Lepisosteus oculatus: one gene and its partners. The protein of the gene in region 1 interacts with the protein of each later gene in a pairwise test. Links are inferred from orthologs where the notes say so. Each region holds a gene or a part of one and is shown on either strand. Other genes may lie near its edges.

What was found.
Region 2: the proteins of fxr2 (region 1) and lcp2a interact in binary tests that used the Homo sapiens proteins (3 or more experiments, as listed by UniProt). The two-hybrid records come from large-scale screens. The link is inferred for Lepisosteus oculatus from reciprocal best matches to the Homo sapiens genes FXR2 and LCP2.
Region 3: the proteins of fxr2 (region 1) and morf4l1 interact in binary tests that used the Homo sapiens proteins (3 or more experiments, as listed by UniProt). The two-hybrid records come from large-scale screens. The link is inferred for Lepisosteus oculatus from reciprocal best matches to the Homo sapiens genes FXR2 and MORF4L1.

Annotation. Positions count from the first base shown.
Region 1 is NC_090698.1:11,918,112-11,925,857, forward strand, and holds the start of fxr2 (fragile X mental retardation syndrome-related protein 2), read left to right. Parts: upstream 1-4,730; 5' UTR 4,731-5,247; coding exon 5,248-5,298; intron 5,299-7,746. UniProt on the Homo sapiens protein: mRNA-binding protein that acts as a regulator of mRNAs translation and/or stability, and which is required for adult hippocampal neurogenesis. Specifically binds to AU-rich elements (AREs) in the 3'-UTR of target mRNAs.
Region 2 is NC_090706.1:29,680,400-29,687,989, forward strand, and holds the start of lcp2a (lymphocyte cytosolic protein 2a), read right to left. Parts: upstream 3,094-7,590; 5' UTR 1,956-3,093; coding exon 1,878-1,955; intron 1-1,877. Other genes in the region: putative ammonium transporter 1, read left to right, coding at 4,021-4,087, 4,831-4,920. UniProt on the Homo sapiens protein: Adapter protein primarily involved in signaling pathways within T-cells, as well as other immune cells such as platelets, mast cells, and natural killer (NK) cells.
Region 3 is NC_090700.1:48,885,942-48,893,768, reverse strand, and holds the start of morf4l1 (mortality factor 4-like protein 1), read left to right. Parts: upstream 1-4,734; 5' UTR 4,735-4,857; coding exon 4,858-4,897; intron 4,898-7,827. UniProt on the Homo sapiens protein: Component of the NuA4 histone acetyltransferase (HAT) complex which is involved in transcriptional activation of select genes principally by acetylation of nucleosomal histones H4 and H2A.

The DNA of each region.
Region 1 (7,746 bases):
GTGTTAAGGTTAATAATGCCACTCCTTCCTTTACCAGTGTCATTATGATTTAACCCTCTTTAGTTTTACTACACACAGTAATATCACAGTAAACTCTTATAAGGGCATGAACAGAGGCCAGACAGCTGTGCTTCATCCATCTAAATTTAGGCACACTACAGATTGTGGAAGAAACTGCTGACTCATGTGATGAGTCACTGAGGATCATTCAGAAGAGGGGATCCTGGGTTATGAGGTTGCTAGAAGCTGGGTGAGCCACACAAAGCTGAACTATTCTTAAAGCCATCAGTGCTGGAGAGCCCTCAGCTCAGACGACCTCAGCCTGGGAGCCCCCTGTCAGGTGAATGGATAAGAATCAGAGAGACTCTGCAAGAAAGAGGAGCTGATTAAGAGCCATGCACCACTGCATCAGGGTATTAATTAGGCAGCTAATTCATTACTGTATCAAATTAAAACCAAATGAGCTATTTAATTGTCTTACTATGCATATTGTTCAGAAATTGAATGCAATTTTAAAGTACATTCATGATGTGTTGCTTTTTTAAAAAATTGTTACAAGTTGTTTTGGATAAACCAATTTTATTATAATAATTACACATGCAGGCTTCTTATTATATTCTTTATGCATTGCGTTTTTCATAACGTTATTGTGTTAAGCTGTTTTGAATAAAGATATCAACCAAATTACTGCTGCAACTTTTTAGTTATAGGAACAATATAAGAAAAGTTATAAGTAAAAGGAGGCCATGTGGCCCATCTTCCCTGTTGGGTTGTTGGTAGTATATTGTTCCAAACATCTCATCCAGTCATTTCTTGACTGCTTCAACAACATGGCTGGGCAGCTTGTTCCTCAATCCCATAACTCTTTGTGTAAAGAAATACCTCCTCCTCTTGGTTTTAAATACACTACCAAACTAAAATGTTCAAACTGAAAAGTTTTTAGAGTCATGTGTTTGATATTTGTATTAACCAAGATTAATTTACTGTAAAATGCAAAATCCATCTACAAAAAGTACAACTAAATAGGTATGATTGTGTGGATCTACAGTACAATGATTTAAAAATCTATGTGAAACGCATTAGGAAGGACTAAAATATTTCTGTGAAAATCCTGAAATCTTTAATATTTGTGAGCAAAGGCTGGACAGCAGAGGTCCCTACAGGTCATTTTATAACGTTAAAGAATTTTAGTGGATGCTTTGCATACTGTTTAAGGGAGTGAATGCACATGGACCTAGACTTGGTTTTAAAATGGTTTTAGAGTTGGTTTTAAAATAATGCTCCCCTGCGAAACTGAATTTTTGCTTGGAGAAATGTTTAAGCTGTGCTTCCCCAGAAGAGTGACACATATGGAGCGTGAAAAAACGCTGAAGCTGCTGTCCAAACACACCATTTGTAACAGAAGACGTACATGATAAAGATGGCCCACCAATTGTGCAGTCAGGGCAGGTGGTAAAAATAGCTCTCCCTTGTGACAGCTGAACATGTCACTTTGGGGTCCTCGGTGCCACACAGCTGTCCTGTCACCTGCCTGACGTCAATCACTGGGCGAGACGCATTCTGTGTTACAGGACAAGTGAGAGGGACCTTCCCACGGGAGAAAATGAGCTTGAGGGGACTGCGTTTTCACTTTCCTGCACATTTTAACCTGGTGCCCTTTATCTTCCTGGAAAATTAGCAAATCCACTCTAAAACTGTCTAATGGATTTAAGTGTCAAATATACACAATACATTTTGTATATATATATATGCAGCTTCATATCAAATAATCGGCAGACTGTATCAGACTCCAGTTAGCCCACTGAAATGTCTCAACTTTTGGTTGGTATTACTTGCTAGCACTGATTGTGGGTGTTCCATAAATTAAGACGAGGCTCCTGTGAGAGATATTTATATTTTAATAATCAATTAATACTTTTTTAAATTAATGATAAACCTTGTTTCCAACACGGGGTGGCAATAGTTGTGGTAGTAAAGGTATACATTATATAAAACCCTAACTTTTTAGGAAATATTCAGCGTCAGTTTTCACTAGGAAATTTAAATATTATGAATGTACCACAGATGGGGATTTTAAATAATAAATGTTTTTAAATACATAGATCTGAATGTATAATCTCTTTGAAATAATAATAATAATAATAATAATAATAATAATAATAATAATAATAATAATAATAATATATAAAAATCTGATTTTGCAGTGTTTGGACACATTTATATCCCACCAAGATGTGCTAACAAAGAAACCTGGACACTAGTCAGGCTCACTGTCTCTCTTCAGTTAAAGGCTATTAAAACAGCAACTACAAAAAGCAAAATGAACATCAAAAATGCTGCTAATAATACTAAAATACTGCTCTGTTTGGACAGTAGGACTTTGGAGAGACAGGTAATTATTAAGTTGGACTCAGCAGTGCTTTCCAGCAGCACAAAATACACCCGACACTAGGGGCAGGTGTGTTACAAGTCAACCATAGCCTTGTCTGTGACCACACATCAATAAAGAGCAATCAAGACTGGCACACCTCGATTCAAAGACTAAATTATCAGTATCCATTTCCTCAGACATTGCCCATATCCTGGCTGACACACATATAAAGGGATTTCATCTTGAAGTAGATGTGGGCTATGTGTGACACGAAGACTTGACAAGTGCTGACTGACGCTTTGTTTTCGGAAAGCATACCTGTTTATTCCAGACACAGTGCACAAAGAGACAATCCTTCAAGTCAGCTAAGAGGTGCAGACAGAGGCTGGCCACATGGTCATTCTTTGGGATTGGAAGGGGGTGCCGAGTTCTCCAAAACCTGCAGAGATCCGGTCACAAATTGACTGTCCGGTCCTGTTTTGGGTGATTTTATGAGCATTCAGTAAGTGGATCTACTGGGATATCTGTGGAGAAGCCAGATTATTAGAATCCACACATGTGCAGGGTTTATATCCAATAGTTGGCAGGAACTGTAATGGCAGTGCTCTCTTTCTTTGTGTAGCACAGGTGTCATGTGCTAGGGCACTCCCTCCTGTAACCAACAGCCATCTCTGGACATCTGACCATAGCAGTCAGGCTGAAGGAACTCAACCTCTTAAGTCTTGAACCCAGATCGATCTGAGTATTAGATGGATCCAAGAAACAGTGAAACTCAAACCAGAGGGAACTATTGGAAGTGCTGTTAAAACCAAGAACAAAAGGCACTTCTTTACACAAAGAGTGGTGGGAGTATGGTACAAGCTGCTCCAGACATGTTGTTGAGGCTGATACCCTTTTTTTCCCCCAAAACAGGTGGTTGAGATCCTCCAATCAGGCCTGGAAGCACATCTTCACACAAAGGGTGGTGGGAGTGTGGAACAAGCCTTCTATCCATGTTGTTGAAGCCAATACCCTGGTTTCTTTCAAGAAGAGGATGAAATCCTGGGATCATATAACTACAAACTACCAAATGTGCCAACTGGGCTCCTCTCTGGTCTTGTAACCGTTTCTATGTTCACTAGTCCACACAGACAGATGGAGAACTATGATACAGTTCAAGTAGGTACTGTAGCTGTGTCAGTATGTGTCAGCTGCAAAGGAACAAATAAAGGTTTATTTCATGTTGAATAGAGAAGAAAAGAAACACAACAAACACAAAGGTTGAAACGTTTTGTTTCTTTTCTTCTCTTTTCAGCATGGAATGAACCTTTATTTGTTCCTTTGCAAACTATGATACAGGATGTGCAGATTTTTTACTCTCGATTTATAAAGTCTTCCGCTGTGGTCTACAAAACCCCAGAAATTTACACTCCTGTTGTGTTGTAATTCTGAATGGGAAGATGGCATTTTTGTTACACCTCACACAATGAGATTCTGCTGTGCTCTGTGACAGCCCGCAGTGAGACCTTAGAAATATTTCTTAGCTTTTTCATAGGGCTCTGTTTGTTCGAGGGGAAAATAAATAAAACGGTCAATCAGAGGCAATGTCCAGAAATAAGAGTGAGCATACTTCATTCTTACCAAAGTCGCGACCTTTTTTTATTGTTCACATAAAAAAACAAAGCAATTCGTTTCTAGGACACTTCCAATATGTAATTGAAAACTGCTGTTTTAAAACGCTTCAAGTGCCTTTTATAAAAAAAAGACGGGAAACAATATGCGTTATATGAACGCCATAAATAGCTGTATATTTAACCTGATAATAAATATGATACATTTTCAGAACTTAACAATATTAAATAATTACGTTATTTACACATATATTTTTACATTAAAAGTGTTAAGCTTATTGTTTTATTTATTTATTTTAACTCGAAAGGGTAAATGTTTTCGAACCCTAAAAGTTTCTTTAGCACACAACGGATACACACTTACAAAAGATGTATATCCTGTGCAATAAATATAGATCATTATAATTACTCTTAAGTATTGTATTACCGGAACCATGCTTCATGAATTGCGCTTATTGACTGAGAATTACGGTAATGAAACACTCGACCATCTCTAGCGTCAAAGAATCAAAGGATGTACATGGAGTAACCCAATCACATCGAGAATACGCGCTGATTGACAACCAACATATCCAATAAAGAGAGTTGCAGAGTCGATTACCGAGGAGGGCAAGAGGGAGGGATGTGTAAGGAAGTTAGTGTGAAAAGGGAATTCTGTTGAAAGGCGTGGATCTGAGCCAATAGGAGAGGAGGGTGAGTGGATGGGCGGGCCGTGTGTGACGGAGAGGAGGGATTTGGGGGTCATTCAGGGCCTCACGGGCTCACTCTGTCGGCGTGCGGTTTGGGGGACGGGCTGTGGCGCTCACCTGCGGTAGCGCAGCCAGCTTCTGGGGAGGAGGCAAAACTACACTAAATACATTACAATCACCCCACTGTTGCCACCCATGAAAAGCTGAAGAGCACAAACGGACAGCGTTGCTTGCGTCGCCTTGAGCCAGCAGTGTCGGACCCCGAGCTCATCAGGAGCGCAGGCGGATTGCATGAGTTTCTCGTCCCCGGAGTGTGACTGCATCCGACCAGCACTTCGACAGCGTATTTAGCAGCGCCCAGATCCGGCGTCACCCAGAACACTCTCTCCCCCCCCACCCCCCCTCCCCTCACTTATCCCGTCCCTCTCTCCGTCTAAACCCCGGGACACTGGAAATCCACAAGCGGCCGGGAAGCGGCGGCGGCGGCGGTGGCAGGCCGGGGCAGCGAGGGGGTCTTCCGGAGTCACAGGGAGCCGGCGAGCGGGAGGAGCACCGGGGGTTCCGTGAGGCGGCGAGGATGGACGGCCTGGCTGTGGAGGTCCGTGGCTCCAACGGGGCCTTTTACAAGGTAACGATCGGAAACGCCAGGGGACGATCTGAAAAAGGGAGCCCAAGGCTTCTGTTTGTGTCGGATTGGGCGGTGATTTGCGTCCAGGCCCGCACGGCTCTTTGTATCTTTCTGGGGTCTTGGGTGTCTGGGGAAGGCTGGGGGGGGGGTGACCGCTCTTTCTGCGGGCGAGGTCCCGTCCTGGCCTCCTTTTCCCGTGCAACATGAAATCGGTAGCTCAAATCATTTCCAGCTTCATTGCGTTGGTTTTAGGTGACAGATCCTCATCATGGGAACGCGCTAGACCTGCAGTAGTTCCTAACCCGTGTTCCTACCGGCGATCTCGGCTTCACACCTGCGTGCCACGAAAAACACAATCCACATGGCTTCACTTTGCTGTCCGCTCGTAGCGGTGCGTTTCTTTTATATTTCGCCATGATATAAACAAAGCTTCGCCAAGGTGCGGTGGTTTCGCTTTGTTCTGCATTTACACCCGCAGATCAGCGCATCTTCATGTCGGAGAAGTCGGTCGCTCCAGGTTAGGTGTTCAAGAACTGGTCCTCTGGGGGAACGCCACTGGTTTTCTCCCTTAACTGCAGCTGTAGTCCTGGCGTCGGTCTCGTTTTCTCCTGTTTATACCTGGAAATACTGCTTTCAGCTCGTGTTTGGTCACCCCACCAGTTATCCCACTGCAAGGACTAAACCACAGACACTGGAAGCCTATTGCGAGACGCCAGTAGGGACAGAAGTTGCAACCTTTCACACTTCGTGTTGAAAGCCCATGCTTAATACTGCAATCTCAGCCACATGTAACACAGCGTCCTGAAACCACGTACTGGCACACCGCTGTAGGTATCGATAACTTATCGATAAAGATTCATACTGAAGTAACAGGCGGTGTCACATTGTGGAACATTCCCGTTTCTTAAGTGGAACTCTTTCAAGCAGATTGATATAGAAATTTTCTACCACCCCATGGTTTTGGGAGCTGAGAAGCACACGAGATAATTTCAGTATACAGTATTTTTGCTGTGAGGTGCCAGTATTCCACCATGTAGTGTAAATTCCTGAGTGGAGTGGCTTTAGAATTTGGTTTTTAAATTAAGATTTTGTCTCTGGTTTTGCCTCGCAGCTCCCAGACCATACTCTGACCTTGTGCCTTTGTTAACCTAGGCTCTTGTTCGTTATTTTGGACCGTTTAGACCGCCGATGTGGAGCAGTTTGATCCGTGACGGGTTTTGCCACCGGACAGTTCTTGCACATACCTGCGCTGGTCACAGAACTGCTTACACCAAAGTTTCCTCCAAATATGGGTGGCAGGCATGAAACATGGCCTGGTGTTGGATGACAGGAACTCAGAGTAAATCCTGGGAGTGGATTGCATCGTTCCAGGAGTGGGACTCTCCATGTCTTCCCTACTGCCTACCTCGTGTCATCTTAGCAGGTTGAGCTAATAAGCAGTGATGCTTAATTTCCTAAGGAAAAAAGCCTTTGAATGAGAAGGCTGACCTTTTCTAGCACTTTCTACACAATCAGCTCTGGATGTTTCTTGCCAATTTAAAATCCCACAATAGGAAATAAGGCCTGCGTTTCACCTCAAGTTCCGACTTTATACCAATTGTACCGATTCATCGGAAGCCAGTGCTCATCTTTCAGGCTGGTGTGAGCCCATGTGATGAAACCATTAAGAATGGTATCTGCTGGATCTTTCCGGCTCGGAATTTGGCAGTCCTGCAGTGGGGTGGAGAGCTTTATCCCCATTACCCTGTTGCCCTTAAACAGAATCTAGTGCCGAGTGAGTCCTGAGTTTTCAGGCCTGGAATAAAAAGGCAAGCGTCAGTTTGCAAGAGTACTTCTGTGATATCCTACAGAGAGCTTCAGAAGACTAACTTTCTCACTAAACAGTGTTTGATCAAGTGCTGCCATAATTCTGCATTAAAAAGTCTAGAAATGTACTTTTGTGGCAATGTTACTCTTGCTACTATTGTTGGTGTTAGAAATGGCAGTGAATTTCCCTGTTGGGGAAAAAAAATGGCTTTTATGCTCAAACTGTTCTGATCGTGTCATCGCAGAAATGAGTTTGCTGAAACTGCTTTGGGGAATTTTCCAAATCTGCTCCGTTTTGCGCTCCGGTTTCCCTTTTGCTTTCCTCCTCCTGCTCCGTCACTCTGTTCAAGTGATGGATTTTGCCTCTTGCAGTCTGCTCCCCTTGGTTTGGAAATCGGGCCTTGTGCCTGCAGGAAAGATGAAGCGATGGGTGGGGTGGATCTCAGTGCCTGTCTGCCCTGCAGTCACCGGTCTGTGCAGTTCTGGAGCGTTAATGCCCAGCCAGACCAGTCACTGTGGGTATTGATGTGGAATTAGGTGAAAAATCAATGTCGGGTCATTTTAAAGCGATCGCGGTGTCTCTTAGTGCTTCCCCTGTTACATTCTTGTTCTGGGCAGCTAACTCGTTCATTATAGATGCTC
Region 2 (7,590 bases), on another chromosome or scaffold:
CCAACACACTGCATACAACGCTAACTCAGGGTAGACAACGCTAACACATTGGAGACAACGCCAACACACTGGAGACAACGTCAACACTTTTGACAAAGCTAACTCACTGGAGACAATGCCAACACACTGGAGACAATGCCAATTTACTGCAGACAACATGAACTCACTGTAAACAACGCTTAATTCACTGTACGCAATGCTTACTCACTGTAGGCAATGATAATTTACTGATGGGTGATACGAATTCAGTGACGGGTGATACTAACCCATCGCAGACAACGCTAACTCGTAGGCAACACAAATTTGCAGTGGGCAAGGCTAATACAGTGTGAGTGATGTTAACACACTGCAGACAACACTAACACACCTCTGAATCACTGAAGGCTATGCTCACAAACTGCAGATAATGCTAACACACTGCAGACAATGCCTACTTGCTGTGGGAAATACTAACTCATTGTGGGCAATACTAACATACTGTAGGCAATGCTAACACATTGTAGACAACGCTAACTCACTGCACACAAAGCTAGCATGCAGCAGACAATGCTAAGGTAGCAAGCAACACTAACACATTGTAGACAATGCTAAGGTAGCAAGCAACACTAACACATTGTAGACAATGCCAGCTCACTGGAGACAACATTAATTCACTGTACACAATGCTAATGCAGTCGACAACGCTAACATGGTGTAGTTAACTCACTGCAGACAACGCTAACTCACAGTAGACATCACAAACTCACTGGAGACAACGCCAACACACTGGAGACAATGACGATTTACTGCAGACAGCATTAACTCACTGTAAACAACGCGAACTCACTGTAGACAACACCAACACACTGTAGACAATGCTTAATTCACTGTACGCAATGCTAACTCACTGACAGGTGATACTAACACAGTGCAGGTAACGCTAACTCATCGCAGACAATGCTAATTCGCTGTTGGCAACACAAAATTGTTGTGGGCAAGGCTAATACAGTGTGAGTGATGTTAACACACTGCATGCGACGCTAACACACCTCTGATTTACTGAAGGCTATGCTGACTCAGAAGATAATGCTGACTCACTGAAGACAACGCTCACAAACTGCAAATAATGCTAACACACTAGAGACAATGCCTACTTGCTGTGGGAAATGTGAACTCATTGTTGGCAATACTAACATACTGTAGGCAATGCTAACACATTGTAGACAACGCAAACTCACTGTAGACAACGCTAAGGCAGTAGACAACACTAACACATTGTAGACAACGCTAACACACTGCAGACAAAACTAAGGTAGCAGACAACACTAACACATTGTAGACAATGCCAGCTCACTGGAGACAACATTAATTCACTGTACACAATGCTAATGCAGTCGACAACGCTAACATGGTGTAGTTAACTCACTGCAGACAACGCTAACTCACAGTAGACATCACAAACTCACTGGAGACAACGCCAACACACTGGAGACGACGCTAACTCACTGGAGACGACGCTGCTAACTCACTGGAGACGACGCTAACACACTGGAGACGAAGCTAACACACTGGAGACGACGCTGCTAGCACACTGGAGACGACGCTGCTAGCACACTACGGGCGACGCTAACTCACTGGAGACAAGGCTTCCATAACGACAACACAACCCAAGTGGACGGAGCAGCTGACCACAAGAGGCGGGTTTGCCCCAGAAAGGGAGCGATCTGGATCATCGTCCTCTCCCACGAAAAAACCAAGCGCAGAGACACTGACTCCCCCAGGCCCAGGAGCTGGGCTGAGCGCGAGAGCCGAGGGCCACGGGCCCGGTCTCGCGTGCCGAAGCCCCGGACAGCCCGCACCAAACCCGAGAGCGCCGGGGTCGGGCCTGACGCACTCACCGACTTGAGGTACTCTGCCAGCTTGTTGGCGTTCCAGCCCAGGACTTCAGTCCGGCTAGGGAGCTGGTCGAAACTCATGTTGCTCCCCTCACGTAGCGAGATATTCCGCTCCGAATCCGAGTCCCTTGAAGAAGAAGAAGAAGGAGAAGCCGAAAAACGGGCAACGAGCGAGCCTGGGCCGACCGCGTCCTCCTGCCCGGTTACCTCCTGCTCGGCATGCTGGATGGAGAGGGCCCCAAGAAAATGGCTCCCGCGGCTTCGCTGCTACGCCCTGAGCTCTGGCGTCGCCGCGCTGCGGAGGAAGTGAGGTGCCCGACGAGAGAGAGAGCGAGAGAGAGAGAGATGGCCTGCACGCACTGTGCAGCAGAACGAGCCCGCACCAAACAGCTCACACCGAGGGAGTGAGAGAGAGAGAGACAGGAAGGAAGCGCTCAAGACTGAACGAATGCTGACATCTTCCTCTTGCGAAACCAGGGCTGTCAACCTCGGATGGGGGGGTCTGGTGGGGGGGGGGGGGAGAAAACAGCCCCTTCTTGCTGCACAGACTGAGACGACGCGGACGGCACGAAAGCGAGGCTTTTCGAAGAAACACAAATGGCGTCATTCACTACTTCCTCCTGAGTTTCTTGAAAAATCCTCCGGCCGACAAGCGAGTGGTGCTGCGTGGGGGGGGGTTGTTAATAAAAACCCAGCCCTCGTTAAGGAGCCCACTGGACCACAGGCCCCGTCTCTGAGCACAGTCTCTGAGCCTGTGTAGGACCCCTCAGACCGTCAGGGAGGACTATATGGTGCACATGGCTGCCTGACGCAACACAGTGGGCAAGACTGCAGGAGGAACTGCCCCGTCCCCCTGTGCTGCACCAGGGCTGTAGCCCTCGGCTCTTCTCAGAAACTGGTGGCTGCACTTCCTCCATGTGCTGCTGTGACGCCGATATTGCTAAGACTAAAAAAAAAAAAAACAATGAAAAAAAACTATTCGTGAAAAGGCTCCCTCGCATGTACTGTATAGAGCTCCACACACAGGAGGGAACCCACTTCAACACCACAGAACTGCAGAACCACCTGGGTGACACTGTTCTGCACCTGCAGCCCCACGGCACACAGATCAGGGGAGCAGAGTGAAACTGTACAAGACCAGAGTGGGGTTCAGTCCTCCTGCAGCCCCACGGCACACAGATCAGGGGAGGAGAGAGAAACTGTACAAGACCAGAGTGGGGTTCAGTCCTCCTGCAGCCCCACGACACACAGATCAGGGGAGGAGAGAGAAACTGTACAAGACCAGAGTGGGGTTCAGTCCTCCTGCAGCCCCACGACACACAGATCAGGGGAGGAGAGAGAAACTGTACAAGACCAGAGTGGGGAGGACAGACTGAGACAGCTGTTACTCTCATTGCTTGTTTGTGTCGCGGCACTGAGAACGGCCTGTGAGTCCAGTCAGCCACCCTGCCCCCTACAGGCGGTCTGGTCTGGGCCGCTGGCCCTCTCCTCTGCGGACTCTAACAGCACATATGGACATTGCTTCGGCGTTCATGCACGGCGATCAGTAGCCATTGCCTTTTCATATGAGATAAACTACGAGAATTTAACAGTTGTAAAAGAAGTATCTTGTTTTTTGGAATTTGTAAACAAACTGACTTCAATAGTTTGTCTGTTTTCTATGTTTCTTCTGGTTTCCATCTCTGTGAGACGGCCAGAGTTGAATTCATGTTGACATTCCCATAATTCGTCTCTGTTCTCTAGACGGAAAACGTTTTCTCGCACCTGTCTGTAACTTGACTGTAGTTCCTGTTGCTTTTTGGATGTTTTTGGATGTCCATTTTTGTAGAAAATGAAATTCAAGAAATGGGAGCGTGATTGTATTTGTATTATGTAGGCTCGCCATCAGGCATTTAAAGTTTTTTTTTAAAATAAAAAACTATAATACATTTTACTTTGAAACGAATTGTCGACGTCGTGACTCTTACCTCGATGGACTTCGCGCGTGGACGGCCGGCGGAAGTGCGGCCGTTAGCGGCCTCGAGCGGCAGGGGCGGTTGACGGACGGATGTTAGCGCTGATGTGGCGCGTAGCCGCAGAGAGGCGACTCATTCACACAATTAATTAATTTCAGGTCACCGCCCGCGTACGAGTGTGCTGGTAGAAAATGGGCGCCGTGGATCTGGAGTCGGTCAATGACGTGTTCACCGTGCTGTGCGGCGTGTGGGTGCTGTGTAAGTGGAGTAGCTACTGGGAGAACCTTTCCCACCAGACGCCAGTTGGCCAATGTTTTATTGAAAATGATAAAGTATGAAACCTGTCCCAGCTTCTTCAGCCGGAGAGGTGCGGTTGAAGGTCTTGGAGACCGGTAACCCAGAGGACATTTTTAGCATTTCTTTGTTAAAAAGGCTGGGTTACCGCGACTGCGTGTCCCGCATTGTTCTCTAACGGAATCTTTTTTTAAATACTTGTCCAAGTAGCGCTTCATGTTCAGTCAGATAAAGTGCGCGTATTTCAAATCAAAGAGCTTAACTGCAACTTACCCACGATAAATGCTGTACCTGTTTTTCGAACAGCTCCTAAAAAATGACTTAGCATGGAGTAATTAGCCCTAATTATTAGATTAATGGTAGAAGATTGCTGGTTTTACTAGTGTTGGGTCTGTAACTATCTCGTATTTTAGTACTGATATTGTACTAAAACGATCGGTAAAACAAAACGACATTAAGAGTTTCGTACTTTATAGCGATGTAAGGATATATTTCAGTATAGTCCGGGAGGGCTGCAGCGTCTGGACATTATTCCCAATCATCTATTCCTGACTAAAGTCAGGCTGCAAATGGGTTTAACATGACAAGTCTTAACTGCTGCTGCTCTTGGGGAGACTTAGACTTACACCTGCCTTCCAGGATCAGGGCAGCCCTACGATATCTTTTCCTCAAACACTTATTTTTGTGTTTTATTTCCCTCTTCACAGTCTTTAAGTTTGGATTTGCGTTTGTGGAAGCCGGAAAGACAGATCCTCACCACACTGCAAATGTGTTCCTAAAAAACACAGCAGATACCTGTGAGTACAGTTTGATCACTCGGGCCACGGTGTCTCTGTCCCTCTGTGTCCCTCGCTCTCACACAGACACAGGGCCAACATGTTCCTAAACAGTGTCTGAGGTATCCAAATAATGTGTAAAAAAAACTCTGGAAAGTATTGAGTGCATATATCTGAATGCTTGAGAAATTAACCAGTCGTGTTTTGTTCTTTTTAGTTTTTGCTGAGATTTATTATAACTTATCTTAATGTGTAGTTTACACTTCGTCAATTAAAAAAAAATGTCTGCATTACTGTATTTTGCAATTTCAGAACATTGGACACGTTGTAAAGTCTGTAAAGTCTGAAGGAAGGTGGTGCAGTGTTTAGCATTGCTGTCTTGCACAGCTGAGGTCCTGAGTTCAATCCCAGACCTGAGGTGCTATCTGTGTGGAGTTTGTATGTTATTCCTGTGTTTCTGTGGGGTTTCCTTCAGGTGCTCTCCCATATTCCAAAGACATGCTGGTAGGTTAATTGGGTTCATGGAAAACAGGCCGTGGTGTGAGTGTGTTTGTGTCTGTGTGTACCCTGCGATGGACTGGCGTCCTGTCCAGTGTGTACCTTCCTTTTGCCTGTTGCTTGCAGGGATAGCCTCCGGTTCCTCGACAACCCTGAATTAGATGAAGAAGCTGGCAAAAGGAGAGATAAAAAAGGATCTGAATACTTCTGCAAGGAATAATCGATCTAAAGATCACATCCAGCTGTTTCTTGAAATTGGTGCAGGGTGTCAGCTTCAGTAATATGGGTGGGAAGTTCGTTCCACACTCCTACCTCCCTTTTTGTACAGAGTTCTTCAGGGTCTCATCCAGGTGTTTATTGATAGAAACCCAGGTATAAGCTTTAATCACGTGGGTGGGTAGATTGTGCCACACTCCCAGCTCCCTTCGTTTAAAGAAGTTCCTCCTGTTCTCAGTGTTAAATACCACGGATGTCCTCTAGTTGGCGTTTCACTATTGATTCTGAAGAAGTCCAGTGGGTTGACTGTATCAGTGTCTTGGAAGATTTGGGAAGCGTGTATGGATTCAGTTCTTCATCCTGTCTGTGTGGGTCTGACAGGCTGTCTGTCTCATCGTATCATTGAGTGTATGTGTTCTGGTAACCAGAATTGTACATGGTTTTCTAAATGAATCCTAACAAATGCGCTGTACAGTTTTGACACAACATCCCTTGATGGGAACTCTAAGATTTTACATAAATATACTAACTCTGTTTGCCTTTTTTACTGCTTCCCCATATGGGCTAGAAGATGGTGTCAATATAAACAGGGTCTTCTTCATAAGTAGTTTCTTCTGTCTCAATGTGTTGTAGTGTATCCTTTTTGTATTTCTGTTTTTACAATTTGCATACAGAACCCTGAACTTGTGTACATTACATATCATCTGGCAGCAGATTTCTCAGTCCTGAATTTGATCTAAATCTTTGTGAATTTCACTTGTGTCTACAATGAAAATGGTGTTGTCTGCATTCTGGTCTAGTTTGCGAACTATAGTAGAATGTAGACAGTTGGTATAAATTCGGCTGAGCAGTGGTCCTAGTACAGATCTCTGAAGTGAATATTGTATGGTCTGTGTGAGTCCATTGCTGCTGTTTCTTGTTCTTGTATCTAACAAATTGATCGGGCGAGACCTTCCTTTTCTAAACTAATGCTAACTATTTCCTGGGATATTATTTCCTTACATACAGTGTGATCCTCTAGTTCAGTTGTGATAATTGTTTCCTTTACTTTACATGTAATAGACATTGGTGTTGCTCTTCTGTTATTACGAGCTTCAGTTTTCTCGCCTTTTTTATGGAAGGGTACTACATGATTAACTCTCCAGTCCCTGGGTGCTACACCTGTCTGGTGACTGTTGGAACAGTTGTGCCAGTGGCTTCTGAATCATATCTCTTGTTTCCTTGGATACAGTTGGTAAGATACCATCTGTCCCTGGGGATGCATTAATCTTGATTGGTTCTACTTCCCCAAATCCTCCTGCCTCTTCTATGGTAATAATATTTAATACAGTACTTTTTTCCTGCTCCTGCCTGGGGCATGTTGCTGACTTCTTTCTTTGTGAACTCCTGAGTGAAACACTGGTTTGGTGCATCAGCCATTTCCCTTGCGTTGTCTAGAGTTCTGAGAAGGATGTTTAAATCATCCTTCCCAACCATCTTAAAGAATGGAAAAACAGATGCAGTGTGTGGGTAGTGTGAAGTCACCTAAGTCCAGCAGAATGTTCTTTTCTAGAGGAGTCTGTTTCTCGTCAGAAAAGTGATCACTGGCCCAATCTCCTCAAGCAGATCAGCCTTATTAAAAACTGGGAAACAAAGGTGCTTGTTAAGATTACTCGATCCTTTAGGCTGGAACTGTAAAGAGCTTTGTAAGGAGTGTAGTCACAGCAGTGTTGAATCTACAGGACATCAGGAGAAATCACAAAGTAATCACCAAGTTAAAAAAGACATGCTTTCGTCCTGACTTCCATTCGCCTGTGTCCTCCGCCCCACTGAGCTGTAGAACCTCTTACCAGGACACTCCTGGCTGTGTAGTAATGAGTCTCAGCTGAGAGCTCTGAAAGGGAGCAGAATTGTACACAAATGTATATCTTCTTACTCAGGATTTTTCTCCGATTTATTCTACCTAATCCTGAACTTCACAGCTCCACTTGAGAGCGA
Region 3 (7,827 bases), on another chromosome or scaffold:
TAAAATGTGTAGTCTTTGAAAGTGCGAATCGCCCAAAGAACTCCCTTTGGCCCTTGTTTATTTGACGAGAAATAAAAAGTATATTTAAATATAGCAAAACGGACTCGTTATATTTTGCACGGGCCATGGTTTTGCTGGTTTCTGGACTTTATCAGATCCCAAATACGTCCTTCGAACATTTACTTCCTACAAACAGTTGTTCAAAACGATCCCAATATTATTTTTCGGGTGCTGCGTCTTGTGGCAGCGTGATACCACCTCAACATGGTACTCCCTTACATCTGGCCGAAAGCCGTATTTTGGCCTAGATCTGCACAAACGCATTCCCTAAAGAAATAACTCGATTATCGCTCGAAGAATCGAAGCGACGTGGAAGACAATCGCAGCCTTTATTTTCCTGCAGACCGCGTCTGGTGACTGTGCCACTGCAGAATGGTGACATGAGACCTTTTGGCAGTTGCCAGAAACCATAAGATGTCAGTAAGAGGATGGTGTAATACACACAGAGTGAATTTATTGTGGCATTAAAACTTCTCACCTCTTATCAAAAGGGACTTCTTCAGGCTACCTTGCTCATTGGCCCGAGTTGTGGTGATGGATATTTGAATTGTCTAGTGACATAATGGTTTCACTGATCTCACAGCACAAACCCCGACTTGGAAACTATCAGGCGTAGCAGCGCTCTGCTCAGCGTTTCAGTTGAAACTTGGCATGACATCACGAATCCCGACTTCACAGTTCTTCCGCTTGTACCTCTCATGCCCCCTCTTTACTGGGATTATGAAACCCAGTTGGTGTGAATTTCAATAGGATCGTGCGCTACCAGTTTGATCACAGAATCGAGAAGGTACCTTTTCAGACAGACGCGCACCATTAATATGACAATTCTTTCAATAAAGAGCAAAAAGCTCTGTGAATGGGAGGTGGCATTTCTTATAATCTCATACCGGATTCATCACCTATTTTGATGGTTAACAACACTGGATTGTTTTCCGCAAGGATGATATCCTATACATATTTTCCCTTATCACACACCCGCACAATAAACAGAGCAGGAATCAAGACAGTCTACCTGAAGCGCATCGGATTAATCGGGAAACTAAATCGCGTGGTTCGTTTGTTTTAAACACTTATTTGAAAAACCACTAACCACTAGCCATCTGAAAGCACTCAAGTGGAATATACGCACTGCCCATACCTGTATTATGAGTTAATATTTACGAACAAAGGTGTCAGCTTTGAAAACGAACTTCTTAGCTGTACAACAGCAGCAAACTGAACCTGCTAAAAGTGAAGAAGGCTTTAATCCATCAATTAGATTGGATTGTTTGCGCATTCTCTGCACAAATACAAACAGGATGCCACTGCCTCACGCTGTCAAGAAGGCTCTTACGCTTGCGGGTACTGTCGTTGTTTTTTAACTAGATGTTATTAACGTTACTGTGCTGTTATAATTATCACCATCACCACCCCATCTGAAACTGAAAATGATCTCCGCCGGCGTAAGTACACTATCAAGACGGAAAAGACCCGAGGTTTTCAAGAAACTAGCATGCACACGCGCAATCGCGTCCCATTGTGACCACTATCGCGCTGTATTCTCCGTGTTCATCCATTTCTAATAGCGCGCATTGGAAGCAGTCAAGGAACGGCTCCGCTACTCATTGATTTAAGTGCGTTTGTCTCTTTGGACGCGCTTCTTCGCCTCGAAAGAAGAGAGATCTGTGCGTGACGCGCTTCAACAGCCATAAGCATAAATACCAGAATCACATTTAAAAACAAAAGTTTTCACAGTTACCTGTGTGATGCGAATACAAGCGTCAGTCAAGAAAAAGCAGCTGGCTGACAGCACTGACCCTACAGACACAAAGTAACTGGAGATCGAGCACAGCAGGACTTTTCGTGGGCACGAGAAGTTTGCAAACATACCTGTAAAAGCTCTGCACGAAATACCACCGTGGTTGAAAATAGCATCTCTTTACGCGCACGTGTCTTAATGCACATTTAACCCAGGATTTGGAAGTAATTTCCATGCAAGAACAGCAGAGGCGATTTCTTTCATAAATACGACTGTTTCTTGCGCTCACATCACTGCACATGTACATGCAGTATTTATGGGCACACAATACAGCAACCTTTCCCCTGCCGCTCGCAGCTCCCATTTGATAAATGTTATTCGGGTGCTGGCCTATTACACAGTTGCACTTTCATTTATTATGGTGTTGTGCGGCTTTGAATATAAATCAAATCAACAGAAAAAAAAACATGAATTAAAATGTTCAATGTCTCTGTAAAACAAGAGCCAGTATGCATTCTGGAAAGATTGCTGGTTTCCGCTATTTGCACAGTTACTTTTAGAAATTTGTTGTCGCCTTCAAAGTAATTCCTCCGTTCTAACCTGTGGAGACCCTAGGGGAGTAATAATTTTGCAGTTTACGTGATATACATTCGAGAAAAGCCAAGTGATTTAAACCTGCATACAAAAATAGACAGGTTCCCAATTGGTTAGCCTCTTTTTTTTTTTTAAAGAGATGGAATAAGAATGCTGTAGGCCTCCGTCACAAGGTATAGCAGTTATTTTCTAAAATATCCTGCATGAATAAGTCATTCTTCATCGTTTTCGCAGTTTTAGGTGACTGAGGTTAGAGGTCAGCCTTAGGAACCACTTATATAGGGATCTGAAGTCACCAGGTACAGCCAATCCCGTGATTTCCCTGTGAGAATCCGAAGAATTTAGCTTCCTGAATTCAATGACTCCGCCCCTTGATGACTCACCCGTTCTTCCAACCGCTACTTTGCTACACAGTTCTTTAGCAAGTGGTGGTGATGGTTGGATTCGCACAGCGGTGCACACAGTCAGTTCCAGCACTCCTTTGCTGCGGAGAAAGCCCACTCGGCTACGTTGCGCTTCATTCTGCCTCTGACGTTTGCCAGGATCCTCACTCCCAACTTTGTGTTGTGCTGGATGACAGTGTTCCTCACATTCCACAGTCCTAGTATTGTGAGGGACACTCACTGCCACGGCACACTGGTAGCTTAGCACTGTTCCTACTCCCAGGAGTCGTACAGTGTTTTCCATTCTTCCATGCACCACTTTGGTGAAGGGGCAAATCCAGAACATGTGCTCCGTTGTCTCCTGATAAAACACGTGTCCTAGGGGCAGTGTGTGTTCCTGGTCATCAAGTGTCTGCCAAGGTCCTCTCTGGTCACCAGCCTCGGCTGCACAGCCTTCCATTTGAGGTCCTCCAGCTTGTTTTCCAGTTCTTTGAGTTGAGTCCACTCCCAGGTCTCATTTGGGGTTAGCAATTGTGAACCAGTTCCCCCCTCTGCTCCTTGTATAGGGCTCAGTGGTGCAGAGCTCTGGCCATGTCATGGTCTCGTATCTTTGGTTCCTCTTGACAGCGTGGGTGTGGATTCCTGGTTGCTTTTCTGCTTTTGGCCCCGTGTTTGACCACAGGAGCAGGTGCCTCATCAGGAGGGAGAACCACAGCCTGACTAAGTACTAGTAGTTGTGGCTGATCAGGTCCCATAGTGTCACGATCGTGACCCCCTCCTCTTAAGGACACTCCAGCCCTTCCTTGTTCAGAACTCATCCCCTGCACCTGCCTCCGGTTCCTGCCCCTCGTCCTATAAAAGCCGGGCGCTCACTGTCTTCCGGGCTCTGCACTGGTTTCTGTACCAGGCGAGTCTGGGACCTGGAAGTGCCTGGTCCCGTCAAGCTTTTAAGTTCCTGTTCCTGCCGGTTCCTGTTTTTATTCTGTTTGTCTTGGATGGACCGTCCGGTTTTGGATTTTCGCCTTCTCTTGGATTCCCTCTTGGACGTCTTTCTGGATTGTTTGCCTCGGCCACACCTTCCCCAAACACCAGCGTTCCATGAACACGCCCCCTGTTTTCATTCCCGACTCCCGCAAGCTTTTTCCCCATGTTTTCCTCACTCTACCCCGGATCATGTCGTCTGCATAGGGTCCTAAAAGAACGCTTCCGTTACACATAGTACCAAAAAGAGGCTGCAGGCACACCATGGCAGGGTAACTAAAGCCACAGGATGTCAGATTTCGGCATCACCTTCCAAGTGAGGGTCAGTGACCATGTTTTCCACAGACACAGCTTTGATTTCACCCTGGCAATCCACTCTGTCCATTCACATGGTTATCTAATACGGGTTGTTCTGTGTGTATTAGAGGATGCAATGCAGTCCATTCCAGCATAGGGAGCGAATTACCCGTTTTCAAAATCTATATTTAAAGATCATGCAGAGTGACAACATTGACACTTCACTTTATTTTCCTGAGGTTGTGATTAAAAGTAGGCTATGACCATTTGTTATTTAATCAACGCTATCGGATAATTGTCTTTCTATCAAAGAAAACAAATTACTCTCATTCAGAAGACTTAAAAGGCAAACGCGTCTTGCAAAGCAAAATATATAAAAAAATCTATTCAATCTAGCATTTGTGACAGCACGTGGATTTCTACGTATCTGACAGGATTCTTTGTCTCTTTGTAAATGTAGTTAACCGATCTAGAAAGGGGCATATTTTCGTTAGTAAATAGCAGTTACTGTTTGGAAGATTTAATATTAACACATGTTCCAGATGGACGAACAAGGAAAAGCTATGCAGTGTCTTGATAATAAGGATGCCCAGCTAGTGTAGCTGTTTTTTTTTTCCAAATAGACATCCGAAGGGCGGAACCTAGCGCTAATAGAAAACGAGTCACACGGTCATTTGACGCAGCGCGCAATTCCTGTGCGTCGCTCTAGTGACGCAGAGCGGCGCCTTCACTGTGTCGGGGTGAATTCAGAGCTGGCGATGCTTAAATTTGATTTTTCAGTTATTTTAATAGTTTAATCTGTGAATGGCGCCAAAACAGGACCCTAAGCCTAAATTTCAAGAAGGTAAGGAACGATTTAATCAGTAAAATTTTGGAGTGGAAGCAGGCCTGCGTTTCGCCCTGTGTGTGACTGAGGGGTAGGGCGGCGATTTGCAGTCACTCCACGGTGTTTGTGTAGATAGCAGAACTGAAAAACGCGCTTAAGTAAAGATTAAAACCTTGTTCAAAAAGGAATAAAACTACGAAGGGCCAGGGCGGATTTTTGTTTTTAGCAATTTAGCTAGCGAAATGTTCACTTTCCCAGATTTATTGGGTGCATTTTTCTAAAGGCCTAACATCTATGAGCTAGCTAGTCTTTTTCAAGTAGAGTGATCTATTGTCTTCGTTGAAGAAAAAATAGGCTATAAAATATCTTCTTTTTGTTTGTGTCTGTAATTAGTAATGTAAGGAGAACAATGAGTTTTTCAGCTAAAACTTAAAAGATTTAATTTTGGACTTTGAGTCTTGATTGTCACCGTGTGTTTGAGCGTATTCTTCGTCGAACCCTGCTTGAGAACCATATTTCTTGTCCCTTAAAACAGTCGAATATAATCGATGCTTCTCGTCGTATCTGAAATAAGTTCCGACCTTTACATTAATATCTGTTAGTAATGCTAATTTATGAGCAAATCAGCTTTTCATATATACTTTTCTTAACTTAGGTTTGATAACGTTGCTCTGATAATTCGTCCTTCTTTGGCTAAGGTAATTATTTTAATTTTTTTCTTGATATTTCAGCAAACAATGTTTTACATTTTTTTGCCATGAAGTAAAAAGTTGTAATGTGGAAAAGTCGCGCTTTTTCTTCACATAACGTTTGTATACAGAAATATCACATTGTGCCAGCACGGTGTAACTAAATATAGTTATGTAGCGACTACTTACCTCTTCGAAGCTGTAGCGAGAGAAAGAGAGATGCAGCTTCTTTTGTTGATCTTAACCTGCATGCGATATTCTGACAATTTAAAGGTTCACACCAAGGTATTTCTTCAGAAGCCTCAGTGAGTCGTAGGCCTTCCTGACATGTACCACAGCAAGAGTTTACCAATGGGCACTTAAATCCTTGATTAAAAACAGTACAATAACCCAGATTTGCATTCAAGTCTTGTGGCTTGCCAAAACGTGCCACTTGCGTAGCCCAAAAATCTAGGGTCGGCTCTTTCTTTCTGTTCGATTTGAAACTAAGTGACCTAATACTTTTAAAAGGGGTCCCAGTAAGCGGTTAACCCTCCAGTTTTTTGCGTCTGTGTGAAGAGATCTAGTGTTCTGTGATAGTCTTGCGAACTAAAGTTAACATCAATCAACTTGCAACTAGGAAGCAACAACTGTCTGCTAGATATTAGCAGTGCTTTGTAAACCTTGGTGAGTCTCTGGTACTTAATCACTCTTATAAACATGAAGATACACTAAGGTGTATCTTGTTTTCTTAGCAGTACATTATTTAAACTTGGGAACCATAATAATTAATAATAATAATTGCTTACACTTATATAGCGCTTTTCTGGACACTCCACTCAAAGCGCTTTAGAGGTAATGGGGACTCCCCTCCACCACCACCAATGTGCAGCCCCACCTGGATGATGCGACGGCAGCCATAGAGCACTAGTACACTCAGTAAGGCTTATCCGCATAAGGCTTGCATCAGTTTCCCTATCCTAGTCCAAATGGAAAACTCTCTTGTGGTTTGTGCTCTGAGTTCTTAATCACAGAACAGTTAATTTATTTTCTGTCTGGGGGCCATTTTTAAATTTGCTTTCAGATTTTAAACGGTCAAATGGAATTTGTAATTGGTGTCAGACCTGTAGTAATGTCTGAAACTCCCTAATTTTCTTGTTTCCTGGAATGTAACCAATCAGATCTCTAGAAAAAGGGGGAAAAAAGCTCTTAGTGGGAGAGTTTAAGTCAGTGTCATATTTGCTTGTCAGTTCATTATAAATGACTTATTAGGTGTTCAGAGAAAAACAAGTGTAAGCAATGCAGGAGAGGCTCTTTGTGCTGACGTTATTGAAAACAGTATGCTGTATTTAAAGTAGTGTATGTTTTAAACTCATACCGAAGGCAGAAACAAATTAACGAAGTCGTAAGCAATCAAATCAACTAAAGGTAAGAGCATAAGTACAATTACAAATGACACCAGGTCAATCGAACCATCTAGCCTGAATAGAAACATGGTGGGAACTGCTGGCTAAATGCAATGTGAGTAACCCAAGAAAGAAATTAAATCCAACTAGAAATACTGTGTAAAAATAAGAAGGCTGCATGATGTTTTAAGACTTAGGTATATTTGTATTGGGTACATTTACTTGAAATATAGTTCTGAATATAGTGTGTGCGTAGCCCATATGGTTAATATTTGTCTTAAGAAATGTACAGGCAGTGTGTCTGTATGTTAGCAGCATAATGATTAGGGTTTTTGTCTCCTGAGTGGAGGGTTATGAGTTCAAATCCAGGGTGGGACTGGTTTTGTACTCTTGAGCAGGTACTTCACTGATAATGCTCCACTAAATGTCCAGCTGTATAGATAAGTCGCCAGGTTTCCACTGGAAGTGAGAATGTTGTGCATGTAATTAGCTGGTGAACTAAAGGAACGAATTATGGTGAAAGGAATGTCTGAGAAGTGCCTGCATGTAGAGGTTTCAATTATGCAGTCTTTCCATCTTGAAGCAGATTACAGTTCACTGTAAGCTATATTTAAATGTGTATGGATGTTTTACAAGTATGTAGTACTGCATCTATACATATATGGAAATTAGACTTTTCTAAACAGACACTCGGATTTAAAAGAACACCAGCCTCATTGATGTCGGCAAGTTTGGTTTCAGTTTGCCGTATATGAAGACGGTATAGAAATTAGACAAGTCAGGGGCCACGGCCTACCTTACTGCACCCTGTCCCTTGTATCATGAGCACAGAGCCTTAAAAATGAGTATAACTGGAACACTTTCAAAAGGATTG